Lepisosteus oculatus: one gene and its partner. Each later gene encodes a partner of the first gene's protein in a complex. Links are inferred from orthologs where the notes say so. Each region holds a gene or a part of one and is shown on either strand. Other genes may lie near its edges. The genes, in order: strip1 and pdcd10a.

Evidence for each region.
Region 2: strip1 (region 1) and pdcd10a share a complex: the UniProt entries of both Homo sapiens proteins name them as parts of the core of STRIPAK complex. The link is inferred for Lepisosteus oculatus from reciprocal best matches to the Homo sapiens genes STRIP1 and PDCD10.

What each region holds. Positions count from the first base shown.
Region 1 is NC_090700.1:37,169,946-37,178,061, reverse strand, and holds the start of strip1 (striatin-interacting protein 1 homolog), read right to left. Parts: upstream 3,438-8,116; 5' UTR 3,398-3,437; coding exon 3,290-3,397; intron 1,507-3,289; coding exon 1,437-1,506; intron 1,140-1,436; coding exon 1,065-1,139; intron 707-1,064; coding exon 572-706; intron 1-571. Other genes in the region: znf76 (zinc finger protein 76), read right to left, coding at 7,500-7,604. UniProt on the Homo sapiens protein: Plays a role in the regulation of cell morphology and cytoskeletal organization. Required in the cortical actin filament dynamics and cell shape. Part of the striatin-interacting phosphatase and kinase (STRIPAK) complexes.
Region 2 is NC_090708.1:4,827,209-4,835,658, reverse strand, and holds the start of pdcd10a (programmed cell death protein 10-A), read right to left. Parts: upstream 3,172-8,450; 5' UTR 3,033-3,171; intron 1-3,032. UniProt on the Homo sapiens protein: Promotes cell proliferation. Modulates apoptotic pathways. Increases mitogen-activated protein kinase activity and STK26 activity. Important for cell migration, and for normal structure and assembly of the Golgi complex.

The DNA of each region.
Region 1 (8,116 bases):
GACATTGAACTGTAAATTCAGCATCTTTGAAATTGTCCTCAGAGTGATCTGACTAGTTTGAATACACAGCATCTGGTGCTGGCTTGTTTACACAAAAAGGCTTGAAACTCATAAAATCTGAAATGGTTCTAGTGCCCACAGAGTCACTTCCTCAGAGAAGCCGCCATCCAAACTCTATGCATTACACACCTAACACCCTCTCCATTTAAGAAGCAATTGAAGATTTCTAGAGTTAATACCTTTCCTTTTGGAATGTTATGAAGGTGGTGTCTAAAACTAACTGCCTAGGCAAGGCACTGAAGCCAACACGCTGGAATTGTTCAAGAGGCAACTGACTGAGATTTTGGCTAATATTTATATCAGTGATTAAATGAACAAGTTAGGGTAAAATTCCTTCTTTTTGCTTGTAACACAATAATTTCAATATCCAACTCAATGTAAAGAAAATGCCCTTTAGCTTGTGCAATACAGACTCTTTCCCAATTGTATCACACCATAGCAGTCACAGGACAGTCCTTAATGAGGCAGACAGTGCCACAAGCTGCTACTCCTGAGCTATTTGCTGACTTACCCTGAGCCATGTACAGAATAGCTCTGGCTACTTTGAGCCTCTTCTCCCTGGCCGTCACTTCCAGCCCATCCAGGAGCCGCATCGCATGGGCCCTGTGCTGAGTGGCGTCCAGTTCTGTCCATTTCTTATCTGTCACTGAGAAGGCAAAGCATAGAACTGATGACCAGCCTGAAGGACTTCGAGCTCAAAGCCATGTTTATCACTGCATCTGTGAACATTGATTGGATGGGAACCTGTGAACCTGTGTTGGATTCTGATACAATGTTTCACTCCTACTGTATATTAAAATGCTATATTTAAAACCCGTGCTGTATCTATAAAAAATGAGTATTAGACAGTGATATTACAGAAATGATATACAATAAATGCAAAATAATATTAGACACGGTGTATACAGAAATATAAATTGCATGAAAACAGTAATCAAGCAGAGCCTGTGGTGCTGTACATTAACCACTCAACAGATGTTCTCCTTGTTTTAAACCAAAAGTACCATGTGTCCTGAAATCTTCAATAAAGCACTTCTTGTTGAGCAGAAACTCTGGTCCCTCTGTGTAACTATACAGCTCTAGAAAACAAACCAACAAAAGACACCAATATTGGTTTTGAAAACAAGACAGGGCACAGTGCAATCTAGTGAAAACTGACTCGTGACAAACAAGATCACTGTCCAGTATAACAATCATAAGGAAATAGTAGTCTTAGCTACAGAACAACAGAAGAAAAAAATAAAATACTGCAATTTAAAACATGACTGCTCCAATTTTGTACAAAGGCAATAAAAATATTCTTTAGGAATATTTGTGAAATTAAGCTTCTATATTTTTAAGCACCCAGAAGATAATATATTAAATATCCAACCCACCTGAAAGCTCTGCAGCCCATCTGTCTGTATCAGCATATTCAAACTCTAGATCAGGAGATTCAGAAAAACCCTGGAAAACATGAACACAACTTCTGTCTGACTGTTCAGGATTGCTTTTGTAGCCAAGCAACAACATGTTGTGTGTACAAGTCAGTGGCCCCAAACTTCATGCTTCTATTTTCTAACTACTTTATCCAATCACAGATAATGTAGGACAGCTGTCCATCACAGAGCCCCACAGTCACAGGCATAAACATGCACACACTCACACCAGGGCCAATTTTCTCAGAAGCCAGTTATTTTACTGTTAAGTCCATCCAGCCCATTGACTTCTGTTTCACTGTAATCACAAAGCCAGTACTGGGAACAAACCTCCTCCAAGGCAAATCCTCCTGAAACTCTTCATCTGGAAAGAGTCAATTTAAAGCCTCCTAATCCTAAACTAAACCTAACCCGCATTCAGTTAGGAAGCTGGAAGAAATAATGGCACCTGGTGAAAACTCACACAAACACAGGGGCACATGAAATCTCCAGACAGACAGGCACCCATAGCTAGAATCGAACCTTGCCACCCACATTACTCTAAGCATACAGGCGTGTAGTTCTGATCTTAATATAACTAGTGAACAGACTGAGGCTGTGGTTTTGTTACCCAGAATTTTAGATATCAGTGATCAATCCAAGAAAATTGATGAGGGGTTTAGTGTATGGGAGAATGCCGGATACTAAAAATGTACCCCTCAAAAGACTAATTCAGAATAATCTGGCAATGCATCAAATTTGTATTTCCTTCTGTAGAAGCCAACAGGATTATATTTAAGGGGATACACACATCGATGAGGAGGAGCACCAAAACAAGTACAAGGTTCAGGTTGATTACCAATTACAAACCTCAGTCAATGTGGTAACAACAAATTTTAAACATGTCCCAGTAAGAAATCTGAAATCAATAAGCCTGGAGCAAAAAATGAAAAGATAGTGGTCAATGCCTATAGAAATCCCACACGCCAAAGTAAGACTGTGCATGCTCCACATGGAAGATACCCTAGTGCCTCACTAACCTCCATGCCACTCTGCATTTACTTAAGATTATGATTTAACACCATTTTATTGTAGTAGTTGTACAGACCGTGTTTAACGAGTCCATTACTAGCTCCCGGACGTTTTAGATTGGTCCTATGCATTTCGTCATTTTAGACGAAAGTGTCATAATATTGGCAGCACCTCTTTGGCCAAGGTGGGGGGATGTCTTGCCAGATTAAGGGAACATTATATCCCATCTGTCCTCATTTTACTGTGGTACGCGATCTGGCCTTGAAATCCCCCTCCAACCACCGCGACAGCACCGGGTTCCCATGACAACGCCAGTTCCCATCCTTCCTCACCGGCTAGAATGAAACCGGGGATGTGGATTTTTTTTTGCCAAAATCCCCATGATATACACTGCGTTTCAGTCTGTGCTTTTTAAAATCACAACGCCTATTAATTTAGGGATACATTAACAGTATAAAATAATGCCTAGAATGGAAATATTTCAAGGGCGAATACCACCAAGTGGTACAGCAGGAGACGAACTTCTTTCCATTAGTTGCTACGTGTTGCATTAATAACGTCGCTTCTCCGCTTTCTCTTCCCCGCGTTCCCCATTCACACAATAACGACAGAAGATCAGTTCAATATATAAAATGCACACGAAGCTATTGGGTCTTTTTTTAAGGTTCACGCGAGTATTTCTGCTGTATGTACTAAGCGCAACCAAGGCTGTATCCTGTGTATGTTCTTCTTAAGCCAAGAACGTTAAGATAGCTTGTTTTCAAAAACAAATCGCATCGCACCAACACCCCCTCCCTTACCTCCGAGTCCTTTCTCTGATTTCGGATGAATTCGCCCCTGCCTTTGTTGGGTAACATCGCTCGCTGTTTATTGTTGACAACCAACGCTCCGCCAACTCCGACGTCCATCTTTGCTTCCCTGCTACACCCATCCAGCCCCCCTTCCACCGGCAGCCACATATCTCGCGAGAGTCTACTTGCTCACACAACAGGCAGAAGCCTACAAGACAACGAAACATCACGAGATTTCGGCTGAGGAATGCGGATGAGCACGGAACCAGCTGTGTTCTGCTGTTTTAAGGTGTTAATGGAGACGCTGTGAAATACGGACTGGTCCCCTAAAAAAGAGGGGATATTCGTGCTGGCGGTCCTTCTTTTTAGGCAATCATTTGCAATAAGCACTCCTGACTTACAGGTGCATGATAAAACTTTAACTTTAGTAACTCAATATGGTAATATTCAAAAATCTCAAACAAGAACATAAGGAAGCTCACATACCAATGGGGCTATTTCTATTTGGCTGCTATGTAATTGATGCCGACTACCTGACGAAGGACCTGAGGTTTTATTTCTCCTGTTCTAAGTCAGAAATATGCACTTCTCATTAGCTTGTGTCTCATGGCCCAGTTTTCACAGCTAACCAATTGGGTTGACTTTACCTTTGCCATAGAGTATTCTGAATAAGGTCCCCTGCAGGTTCAAAGCAGATCTGCCATACGATTGGTTTGTGGAAGTTCTATTCCTTTCTCACTGCAATACACACTCCAGGAATAAACATCTAATCCCACACCTGCCAGAAGCACAGCAGCTATCAATTCTCCTAGGCCAGGGGGAGGAAACACAATAGAGCTGCAGTATAGAGTATGCAATTTCCTGTCCCAGCCTGAGGAGCAGACAGTGACTCTAAATAAGAGCAATGACGTGTTCCTGGGATGACTGTTTCTGGTGGCTTTTGCCTGGTGGCTTTTGCCTGTGTTTGGCCCATATAAGAGAATTAATCAGCAGTGGGTAAAATCCTAAACCTGGAAGTAGGATATGCATGCAGGCTTTCTCCATCTCTCCAAAGCAACAGCACCTCGAGAGCTGGATGGAGTTGTTACATTGGTCCCAAGCCTGTTTTAGATATTCAGAGCTGTGCTGGAATTAAAACTGCTGACACGCCAGGGCTATGGGACCAGTATCGCCCTTCCCTGGGGTTAAATGGTGGGATTTGGGGATGGGAGGAACATTGGAGTAAAAGAACAGGGATACAGAGAGGCTAGGAAGATGGAATAACATACCCACCAACTTTCCCTCACCAAGGAGGGAACTAAAAAAATACCAAAAAACAACATAGCTAAGCTGTTATTTTCCTATTTCCATTCCTGGCAGTGCTGTGCGCACAAGAACGCTGTTTGTAGCAGAACTACTGATCCGACACAGGCTGAATCACTTGAGAAAATGCCTCTACTACCCTTTGAGGTAAGGTACAATTTGGAGGCGAGCCACTATGCATAACCTGCATGTCTTAAGATGCCAAAGTCTCAGAGCATCTCTCCCAAACCCCACCCAGAAAAAAAGAAATTTTCAGACACAGCCTACAACCTAATTCAGGCTGCCTATCGTAGGATGCAAGGCAGGTTGGATCCCCTGGACAGGAGATTCAGCCCATCTATACTGTATGGTAAAACATTTGGACATCTGTCCATCGCAGGGCACACACATTTCCACATTTTACTGACTCTAACCTAACCAGCATGTGTTTTAAGTACTACTACACTAAATCCTCTACAAACACTGGGAAAACATGCAAACTCCAATCAGAAGGTGCCCAAGTATTGAATCAAACCCAGGACTCAAGAGCTGTGAGACATCAGCAATAAACAGCCGCCGTTCCACCCTTTCCCTTATACAAACTCCCTACAAACAGTGAACAGCCTGGCACTCCTGATAATAACATTCCAAAGGTTAACACACGACACACTCCAAACATTATTAACCAAATTCCTTTTATTGATGGAAAATAACAATGAAAAAGAGATGTCATCACACATAAGAAGGGCCCAGTCTCACAAAGGGCCTCATAAAGTGAGCTTTTGCTCCACCGCAAAAGTGACAAGAACATTACAATTTTAGATTCAGTGCAGCTGGGAAGATCTGTATTGCATTTACTTACGATTTAACCTCAGAAGTTATATTCCAGTTGTCTGAACTTTGCACTGGTGCAAAATACAAAACGCCTTGCAAGGCAACACTGTAGTGCCAGAACAGGCCTGGAACAAAATAAAAGATACGCAATGGTAAAACAAAGCAGCTCTGTCCTTTTCCTGAGCTCTTATTCTGTACCCAGAAGCTGTAGACAAACCTATATAATACAACTGTGATAAGAGAGGAGCATGTGTTAATGTTCAACTTGTTTGGTTTCGGGGAGGACCCCCACCCCATATAATAAAAATGCATTGGTGGTCATTCTAGGGACGGTGGAGGGGTTTTAGTGTGAAAAACACCAGGAAATAATGGTGTAAAGACCCTTCGTTATACCATAGCAAGGCAACGACTGAGCTTTCATTAAGTACACCAATTATTCAATTATTTAAGGACTGCCAAGATCTCAAAAGCATCACAGAAATGCAAGGAATTATCACTATCTGTAAAACACTGACATTATAAAAAGGACAAGATTACTTAAAGGAAAACTATACACCTTCCATGCTCTCAGATTCTACTTGAGACAGAATTTGAAAACGATGCATCCAAAATATTTTTCTTTAGTACTTAGTACTTTGAGAATCTGAAGGGAGATTGACAAATACTGAAGCATGTACACTGTGAAGATCAGGTTGCCAAATTTAATAAAAGTTTGAAAGAACATGCCTAGCAAAACCCCTGGCTCCTCTCTGAAACCCAGATCGCAATACGTGCAGTATTATAGTTTGTCACACTCTTTCTCTCAAGTAACATTTTTACTCTGCCAGCGCAGATAAAGGTACAGTGAATGCAGTGAAACCACCAGATCACTCTATGACACACATTTCCAGGAACAGCATAATGTCACACCTCCACCAATATTGATTGCATTTGGCCCAAGCAAAATGATGATCTGAACATTGGAGTAAAAGAATAGGAAAAGGTGAAATGACACATTAAATGGAAACTAAAACATTCTTGTCATTCCAGCCTAAGCAGAAAACTGCAGTCTTCCTTCTAACCCAACTTTAAAGGGACAAGGAAGACAAAAGAAACAGAAATCCTTGTCGAGGCACAAGATCTCCACAAAAAGCTGCTGCCATAGGCTCAGCTCTTTCATGTTTGTTGGAGATGAGTCACCCTAGTGACGTTACAACACTTGAAGGGGAATGTCTCAACTGTATTAATTTCCCACATTCCACACCTTAACATTAATCTCAGATCCAGCAGCCAAAGATAAGAGATATTAAAGATAACAACATTCTATTCTAAATTAAAACATCTTGCAGCACACACAATGATGAGAAGTAGCCAGGTGAAAGGTTATGTTCATAACAGTTTGTGGACCAGTAGGTAGCACTCTTCTCTTTGTATGAAAACGTCCAAGTGTAGAGACCAGGGACACCGGGGCGTAGGGGTGCCAACCTACTGATGAGCTGTTAAACTGAGGTCTTGACTACTTCTGGTCACTTTATAATTGCAGTGAAGCAATTAGCTTCTCTTAACTTCTCAATTGCTTCTCCAAGCCTCCCCTGTTGCCTATGCCTAAAAGTAACCCTGCCAGTAACCTGGTAAGTCTATAAAACATGTATAAAACAAGTTTAATTATTAAACCAAGTCTTCTAAAATGTATTAGGTTAGTAGACTTAAAAAAATAAGACAGTCAATTCTCTTGTTTGATAAGGTGATGTTTGAAGTCAGACATAAAACTATTATACCAGACCTTTTCTGACACTTACAGTTCTGAGTTTTTATTATTTACTTTTAATACAGGGAAAAATGTCCACAGTTTTCTCCTGCTTTCTGTATTGCTCAACTGGAGATTGTCAAGGGCTGTTTCGTTTTCCGGATGAACAGCACATGACCCTTCCGCCACCCTCTCAAACCTCCACACTTGAGCCATGAATTCCTGCCAAGATGAAGTTGTGTGTTAAAGCTGGCAAGAGACAATGGGGAGTTGGCTCCTGTTCCCGTCTCTGCACTTTGGTCGGGCTGGGGCTGGCCTGTTCAGTCTCTGAGCTGCTCCCCGCTGCGGGGCAACTGTGCGGTGCGCCGTCTCTGCTCCTCAGCAGCCCCCCTGCGCTATCACCTCGTCCTGAACCACGCTCCCCTGCTGAATCGCAGCTGTAGCCAAGCTGATGGCTTCCTCCAGGGTCTGCTGCTCCTCCAGCTGGGCAGACACACAAGACAACGTCATGGATTCATTGGAAAGTCAGGGGAAGGCTTAAAGAGAGTTTTGTGTTTTTTCCCAATGCTCACAAAACAAAAGGTAAAAAGGCTTAGCTCCAGAATGGCTCCACCTTTATACTGGAGGTGCACGCCGACCACAGGTTGCCCTGACATCACCAGTTTAGCTCTGACCTGTGTCATTAACTGGACTGTGACCAGGATTCCCCAAGCAGAGTGGCACGTGTGGCTGATCACTGCCAGGGCTGGGGGAGTTGGAGTCTGTAAAGATTATCCCTCAGCTCGAACACCATGCCACCGCAGGAAAAGGCCACTGGCCTTTTCCATTTGGGAGGGTTCAACACAGATACAATAAGTTTGTAGATTTCTATATACAATTTTGGAATCAACAGTAAAATAAAGAGGACATTTTGCATGGAGACAAATAAATAATCAACATTTACTTCGATTCACATAAAGAAAAGAGTGAGGGATGCGCTGTTTGTGTAAGCAGGG
Region 2 (8,450 bases), on another chromosome or scaffold:
AAAGGAGTCCCACTGTAAAAAATTCATCCCAGGTAATGAATGGGGAATTTCATCAGATATAAAATTTTCTTGGACATTTAATCAGTTAAGACAAGAAAGGGTCAGATGCTTGGCATGAAACATTTACCTGAACCACGCTCATTAATAGTGTTATATTTTAAGTAAAATGTAACTGTAGCCAGTTCCTTCCATTTTTGGCAGGACTGTAAGTGAGCATGTCACTTTTTATGTCCGTTAAGAAGTGTGCACATTTCTCCAATCTTGAGTTCCATCTGATACAAGCTGCATTTGTGAGGTGGATTTTACAGCAAAAGCAATAAACTGCTTGTTGAACAAACAAGCAATGAACCCTCCACTTCCCTCTCTGCTTTTGACAGGTTCAGGCGCCATCGTCCTTAGGACCTATAAATCCTTTGACCAGCTCTGGATGCTTCATGTCTGTCCAGGTTTACTTCCACTTTTCACCTTTTCACAGTCTCAGTCTCTGCCTAATTTATTCTTGTGCATGTTGTTAAATCTGCTGACATCTTTCAACTGATTGTGAATTCAATATTAATACCGGCATGCATTTCAGTTGAATACAGAAATTGCAGTTAGGCTCTCTCAGTGCCTCTGTCAATAGGACTGCTTTCTGTCCAGTTTGCTTGTCAGGGTAGGGGTAGTACACGGAGATAGAACAAAACCCCTTTATAGTTGCAAAAATAAGATTGAATTGTCTTTGAAATATTACCAAATAAGCAAAAACAGAAAACGGAAGAAAAAAATCTAATCATTCCCACACAGCTCTTTTAAAAAACAACGTACATCACAATTTTTTCTGCACTCTTAAATTTACTGCCTTAAATGATCAAGTATTTAATCAATGCACTAAATCAGGATTGGATACAAGATAAGATCACTTTACTGGCCATATACGGGATTTTGTATTAGGAATTTGTCTTTTTCACATACTCTTAACTTGCTCTTCATGAGACAGACAGCCGGAGAGAAGCTTGGGGTCAGAGCAGGCTCAGCCATTTATACAGCATCCCTGGAGCAGTTGGGGTGAAGGGCCTTGCTCAGGGCCCCAGAGTCGGATTCCTGTGCCGGCCATGGGATACGAACTGGCAACCTTTCAGCCACAGGCAGGCACAGATCCTTAGCCAGAGAGCCACCGCTCCGCCCCAATATACAGGGAGGTATGTTCTTATTCCTTGAACACACTGGAGTGGTCAGTGCTGCATATTATCAGCAGGAGAAGGGAACTTGATTGGGAGTCCTCTGCCTAACTCGCCTACACAACAACTCTTTGAGCAAAATCTGGGATGTTAGAAGTGACAAGAACCTCAGTCTTATCCTGGATGGCTCTGTTTCTGCACCCCAGCCAGTGCTCTGTAATGGGAATAGTTCCAGGGCCCCAGAATTTAAGTACAACCTCATATGAACAGGTGTTCACAAGGTGTGCAGTAAAATATACAAGCTTTTCCTAAGAAAGATCTTCAGGTCACCTGAAGTCACACCCAAATCATAGTCCTGATAGTCAAATGTCTTCCAGTAAATAAGATTTGGCAAATACCATTTAGTGTTGGTATTTACAAATACCATTTACAAAATCTGGAAAAACGTTTGCACGCAGCACGTAGCCCCCGACACAAGAAGAATGTGTAGCTTAAGCTGAACGTATGTTCCGCAGCATTGGAAATTGGGATTCAAAAATCAAAGCTGCTAAGTATATATAGCAGGTTGTACCGGCAGGGATTTGATTCAAATGACAGTATAATCATTCACACATCTACCAATACAGTGTAGGAGGGAGGACAGCACATTTCCCATTATGGGAATATCTGCATACAGCTGGTTCAATTATTAAATTCCACACTGAGATAAATATTTTCCAAACTGAATTTGGGTCATCCCAAACACTTACTGATGGCAATCAGCTTCCCATAAAGTGCTGTATAAAGAGCAGGTCACATCCCGGGCATTTATTTTGAAGCATTACTGAAAACTGCTTAGGGAATAAAAAAAAAGAGCTGATGATGTTCATTCTAGAAAGTGAAAAGACAAGAAGCCTGATGACCACAGAGTCATTTCACACACTGCTGAACCCAGCCTGAAGGAACCTGTTAGGAAACTCAGTAAGGCGAGGTATTAAATATCACTATCAATTCCTATCATATTCTCATGATTCTAAAAGTCTAAAAGTTCTGAGACTATTTATTTCAGCATAACTGATACGCATGCACATATAGCTTAATGACTAATGCGAAACGCACAGATGCAACCCATTTTAAAGTAGCGATTTAACATCACTAGTCGAACTATAAAGAACACGAAACGAGATTTGACCCTGCTGTGTGTTTAATTCACTTTTGGGATTGTTACTGTTCTCACCGCACTGTTCACTCCGAGGCGGTCTGCCATCTCCAAAGCTGTCACGGGTTTAAACAGAAAATGGGAAATACGGCACCTTCAGTTCAGGCTGGTAATCACCAGCCAGGCTTCACTGATCACTGCTGGAAACTTTTCCAGCTTAAAATGAGACGCGAAACTGTATCTAAGCGCGATAGCTATGTCGTTTCAAACAACCAGGAGAGGACGTATAGAACCCGGAAAAAACAGCTCTTTAAAATCTGTCCTATCCGCATACCAAGGCCTGGGTGGCCGGGCTTGTCCCTGGGCTGCCGGCAGGTGAGGGACCAGCCCCCCGGCTCCCAGGGCTGGGCCGGCGGACACCTTTCTAACCGAGTTCCGCGCCAACAACAACAGGCCGAGCCGAGGCCCGTAGACCTCTGGCTCACTCGGACGAGGTGCCTTTCGGTATCAGACCCGGGCGGTTCCGATTCCGGTCAGGCGGATGTTGTTTCGGGGGACAAGCTAGAACCAGGAAACCTTCAACGAGACGAAAGCTAACGATATTAATAACAACAGCATTATTAGAAATACCTATTCGCTAACTACTTCACTGGGCACCTCGAAGAGTGACAACCCATCGACACGAAGTTGGCAGAAAAAGGAGACGTTCAGCGCGGTTTTTGATATTTAGTACGTACCTGCTTCTTTCCGTCCCGAATAAGCCCCCAAACTCCGTTTTTATGTGTTCTTTTTTTTTACCGAAGACGGAAGTTTTCTGCCTGACCAGAGACGCAGGGAGTTGAGGCGAGGTCCCCAGTACACCAACCAGAAAAAGCTTTATAGACGGCTAGGTCGGTAGTAGGAATTGTAGTCTTTGGAGAGCCTTTCTAATGCGGCGAAGATTGGCGCTTTACGTGCTATAAAACTCCAAGTACCAGAAAGCATTTCGCCGCCTCCGCGTCCCCGCCCCCTCACAGTGAGTGACACTCCTCTCGGCCAATAAAGTGCACGGATGGGTAGCTCATTGACTACAGCGGGTTTCGCATGTTATCATGCATTTCTTTGCCCTCTTTTTTTTTTTACTACGCGATAGCAGCCCGATTGATCTTCACTGACAGGTCTGAAATCCACCCCTTCGCAGTTCGAAGTAGCTAGAGGAAATACGGCTAGCATAAAGGCTAGCGTGTTGTGAAGGTAGGACGGGAGAGGTAGCCAATGGGTATGGAGGCAGGCGGGATCGGGCTGTGAAAATATTTAGGTCTGTCTTGAACCTGCCGCGGCGTCCAAAAGGAATAAGCATCACCGAGAGGCGGAGTGCTACTGTAGCTAAGCATCCTTAGCAGAATAGCACTTGGTAAGGAAGGGATTTAAATGCCTTATAATGTCAAACCAAGTCCTAATTCGTTGTGCTGAAACGAATCAACATGTTGTCATTATCGCTCTCCGTTTAACTGAAGCATCGCTGTCAATGATGTGTCTGTGGGTTTTTTTTATTCTTAGAGGGCTAAGTTTATTTTTCTCTCCAGTTCTTGGCTTTTGGGGTTTTTCTTTTTTACTAGCTGTGCAATGACTAAAATCTGCCTTTTTTTTTTAGTTACCAAGAGAGGCGGGTTGCGAATAGCAAAGTGGTCCTTTGTTCTCCTGATACCTATTCTTGTGTGTTCCTGTGTGTGAAGTTATTTTCCGAATCTCATATTAATAATGTACGAGCCGACGGTGTGCATGACTCCTGGGTAGTTTATATTAAACTCGTGATACACGTGAATGGCGTAGAGAATATACAAATGAACGGATTAGCTTTCCGAATTCTTATCTTCTTACATTTCACGTAAAAAGCTGTGTATGTTATGTAAAATGCTGTATATCTATATATCCGTTGCCAAGCCGACGTTCTCGTGACATTGTAAATGTATATTTTTAAAGATTAAACGTCTTGGCATTTGTGATCTGTAGATAATCCACCTAAAAAGTAAAAAGTGAGACGTAAAATTGGGTGTAAAACGTTAGTACGTTAAATTGGTATATAACCACATGGCAAGAACATATATTCACAAGATCTTCCTGAATCGCACTATTCTGATGTACGTATGCGAGTTTAAATCCTCTAGTATACAGTACGTGTCAAACAAGCAGCTAGTTAAATACTGTTTTATTTTGTTACTGTCCTTGCTGGTGTGTACGTTGTTGGAGAAATTTATTATTTGTATAGATTTTAGTTTTTTTAAAATTCTGGCGTGTCTCCTAGCACGGGTGTGGATTTCACACCTTCAAAAATTATTCTCACAAAATAAGCAACCAATCTGTTTACGATAAAAAAAATGTCCCGCCCCCCCCTAGAAATCGTGGATTCGACTTGAACCTTCGCTAAGTGTAATGTTAAAATCACTGAGCAGTTTCCGTTTTAGCGTAACAAAAACGGAACATTGTGTTAACATTGTGAGGTCTTTAATTTGCGTCATGTTAATACCGACTAAATCTTCACATGCAAGTAGGGGCTTTTCTTCCATCTGTGCGCAGGCAGAGGACGGAAATGCCCCTGCGTTACAGAAAAAAAAAAGATATCAGATTATTTTAATTTTTAATTCTAGAACCATTTCATTTTCTGTGAAACTGTGTGACAGTAAACATACATCAAGTCATTGATTATGGCAAATAATTTAGGAATATATTATCGATTCTTTTTCAGGTTTTTTAGTATTATTCTTTTCATGAATTGCTGTTTTGCATACAGTATTTTACCAGTGTAACATCACAACACTTTGGTTGTGTGTATTTTAAAAGCCACTACATCCCTTTCAGAGCTTTCAAGTCTTTTATTCAGCTCAATTAATCTAAACGGCAGCAGATCCAATTACTGTTTAAATCTCTGAAGCACAGCTCTCACTGGTGTCTAAGAAAGTTATTCAGGCACAGAAAAGTCCAAGGAGACATGCATGCTTTGTTAAAGAAGTGGGTTTCTATAACCCTGGCACATTAAGCCCTGCTTTAACGATCTAAAGTCTGGTCATATTTAAAACAACGTTTGCTTCTTATAGAGATTGAATTGCCTTTTTTATCCCCATTTCTAGTGATAAATATCTTCTACCGCAGTATGGGCTGCTTGGAAAACCTAGCAATATTCACATATTGAGTTTCTAATAATTTCTAAAGCTCCCGTTGACCTTTTATTTAATTAATCCTGTGGTTTATTTATTAATTGTGCTAAGCAAACTTAAGTGGGGCTACGAAAATCGAGTTTATTTAGAATGTTCCTCAGAAGGGTGCCAGGAAGTACAGAATAATACCTCCTAGCTGTTGCTGGAAAAAAAGCTTAACTTAATCTCCCAGATGAGCCCTTTCATCACACTGCCCCGAACAACATAAAATGGCGCATTCATCTACACAAACAGAAGACGGGTATGTGTCTGGAGTAAATTTATGAAACTGCATCAAATTCATTTGCACACGATTTGGCTTATTATGCTTTGAGGCGGTAGAGATGGAGCTCAAAGTTTAATTGCTTTTGCATCTCTCTGAAGGACAGTCTGTTGTCATTAGCATTCAGGATCACAAGGAGAAGGAATGTCATGGAATGGAAAAAAATTCCCATATCACCTTCTTGTATTTGGTGATGTTTTAAGTATATACAGTAGGTGCATTGCCATCAGTGAAGTTTCAGTGTTTGTTTTTTGGTATCATCTAAATGAAGAACTAATGTTGGCCTGGAAAAAAAAGGTCCAATTTAAGGCATCCAATTGAATTAGCATTGCATGCGTTAATACATTCTTTTTAATTTAAAAGCAACTTTGTTTAACAATGAGGTATCCAGCATCAGGCATGATCATTATGTGCCTGAGTGCTGTTTGGTCAGGGGACGTGTATTAGAAAGGTAAGATAGTAAGTTCAAATAAAACTAAATAATTCTGAAGAGTGAAGGAATCTGCTTTCCAATGTAGCCGTAGAATCAAATAAAATACTGCTGTTTTTCAAAATAAGTTGCTGAAGAATTTCTTTTAGAAATGTAACATCGAGCAGTTGCCTTGTGCTCTTGACTTGCATGGGGAACCCCTACCCTCAACAGTATTTCAGTTACGCGTCTGCTTGAGAAATAAATTAAATGAACCGATGCTGTAATAAAATGGTCATGCTAGCCCCTGATGCAGAATGATGGTTTATATCGATTTATTCCTGTCTCCTTTTCCCATTGCTGAATCATGTCGGTAACGCCCATAATGAGCAATGGGTCAGAACGCTGAAGATGGAGGTGCTTTCCCATCTTCGGTCCGATAAGATTGGTGTTAGAAGGAATGTGGTAACAAGTAAGGGAAGGAAACTGATGGGACTTGTAATAGACTGTGGATTTGTCTACACTGGCCCTCCCTGCTCCTCCTAAACTTGGGATAAGAAAACTCCACTACCTCTTGTTAAATCTGTGGATCGGACCTGTCACTGCGATTGCCTGCTGTGATAAGATTGTGCAGGAGTGTACGGAATACTCTAATTTATTTTTGGAGAATCTAAATTATGGTGAAGGGTTTTTGCAACGGTGATCAAAGCAGGTTGCCATCAATTGACGATTGACGGGGGTTAAGTTGGGTAACCCTATGGGGATATGTATGCATTTCATTCATTACAGAATCAGAGCTATCATGATTAATGAGCCCGAACAGATGTGCGGTAGAGAAGACTGAAGCTTTTTTTTAAGTCGGACTGAGAACGTTTTTTTTTTCTACGATGAGGAAAACCTGATTGTTATTCTGTTGGTTTCTGTGGTGAATTAATAAACAGTCCATTGCTGTTTTTTTGTGCTGCTGTCGGCACTCTTGATTGTCAGATTCCACAAATAAAGAATCTTCTAGCCTGTTTTGGCTAGACATCCCAGGTACCAGGAATGAGTCCGGTATAATAATGTGCAGCACTGAAGTAGGACATCTGCAGTATGTGGGAGGATTGTAACATGACAATTCTTCATTACATGTTTGATTTTAATATACAATACAGTAAGCACATTGAGGTGTATGGATTAAGGTGGGAGTGAGCTGCGATAGGCAATTTTTCAATATGTGGTGGAAAATCTTTCTAACCTTTGACATGATCTGGTTGAAATGAGATGTCTGCACAAAAAACCTTGTATTTGCAAATGCTAATCTACAATGAGTGACACAGCTGCCCAAGCCTGTGGTCTGTGTTTATGCTGTTTATCCTTTGTTTGTACCTCTGACTGGAATCTGTAGCATTTATTTTCGTTTGGTGTTGTGTTAAAGTGACCCTTCCAGCTGTTTTTTTTTTACTTTCTCAGGACAGACAGCAGTAACCTCCCATGTTGTGACCGAAGTGCCTGCCTTAAGAACAAAAGCTGTAATTTGGAGTTTATGCAGACAGCACTGCAAAATCTATGATAGCTGTCCTCTGTAATCCTAAAATGGCAAGGGTTGAGATTGCCTCAAGAGTCTCTCTGTCTCTAAAAGTGTATCGCAAAATCCTCTTTTCCAAATCTTAAGCAGCTCCCAGAGAATGCTGGAGGCCACATTTCCACAGCTCTATTCTGCACATGGAATCCATTGCTGAAAGGAGGTGAAATGGAGTCCTAACACCTGTCTTTTTTAATTCATTTTTAACAGATCTTGGTATTTTTGATAATAATTCTTTTCTTTGGTGTGTCTCTTTACCATGTGGCCTTTCGTTTCAAAACGCAAAACATTGTGTTGAAAAGGATTTTTAAGAAGAAGAGTTTGGATGTTAGGGTTTCCTTTTCAAAGAATGAACTTTATTCAGTCTTTGTCCTGTGCTTTAAAGAGCAAACCCTTTAACCCTGACTTCAAAAGAGTAATTAAGACTGATCTGATGTAATCTGTTCTTTTGCTTTTGATTTGTAAACAGTTTTGCTTTAATGAGGATCAATGCGATTCAGACCCCCAAAAAAGAGGAATGTGTGTGGGTTGGGGAGTGAGTGGTATGATAGACAAATCAGACTGCAGATTTACAGTAAGGTTGTATAGAGATTATACCTGCAAAATTGTATAATAATTTTTAACATCAGTCTGTTCAGAATTGTACAGAATCTCATAGGATATTGTTGCAAATATTGGATTTAATCAATCAAGCTGTGATATTACTACTGTAGGTATAAAAAATAT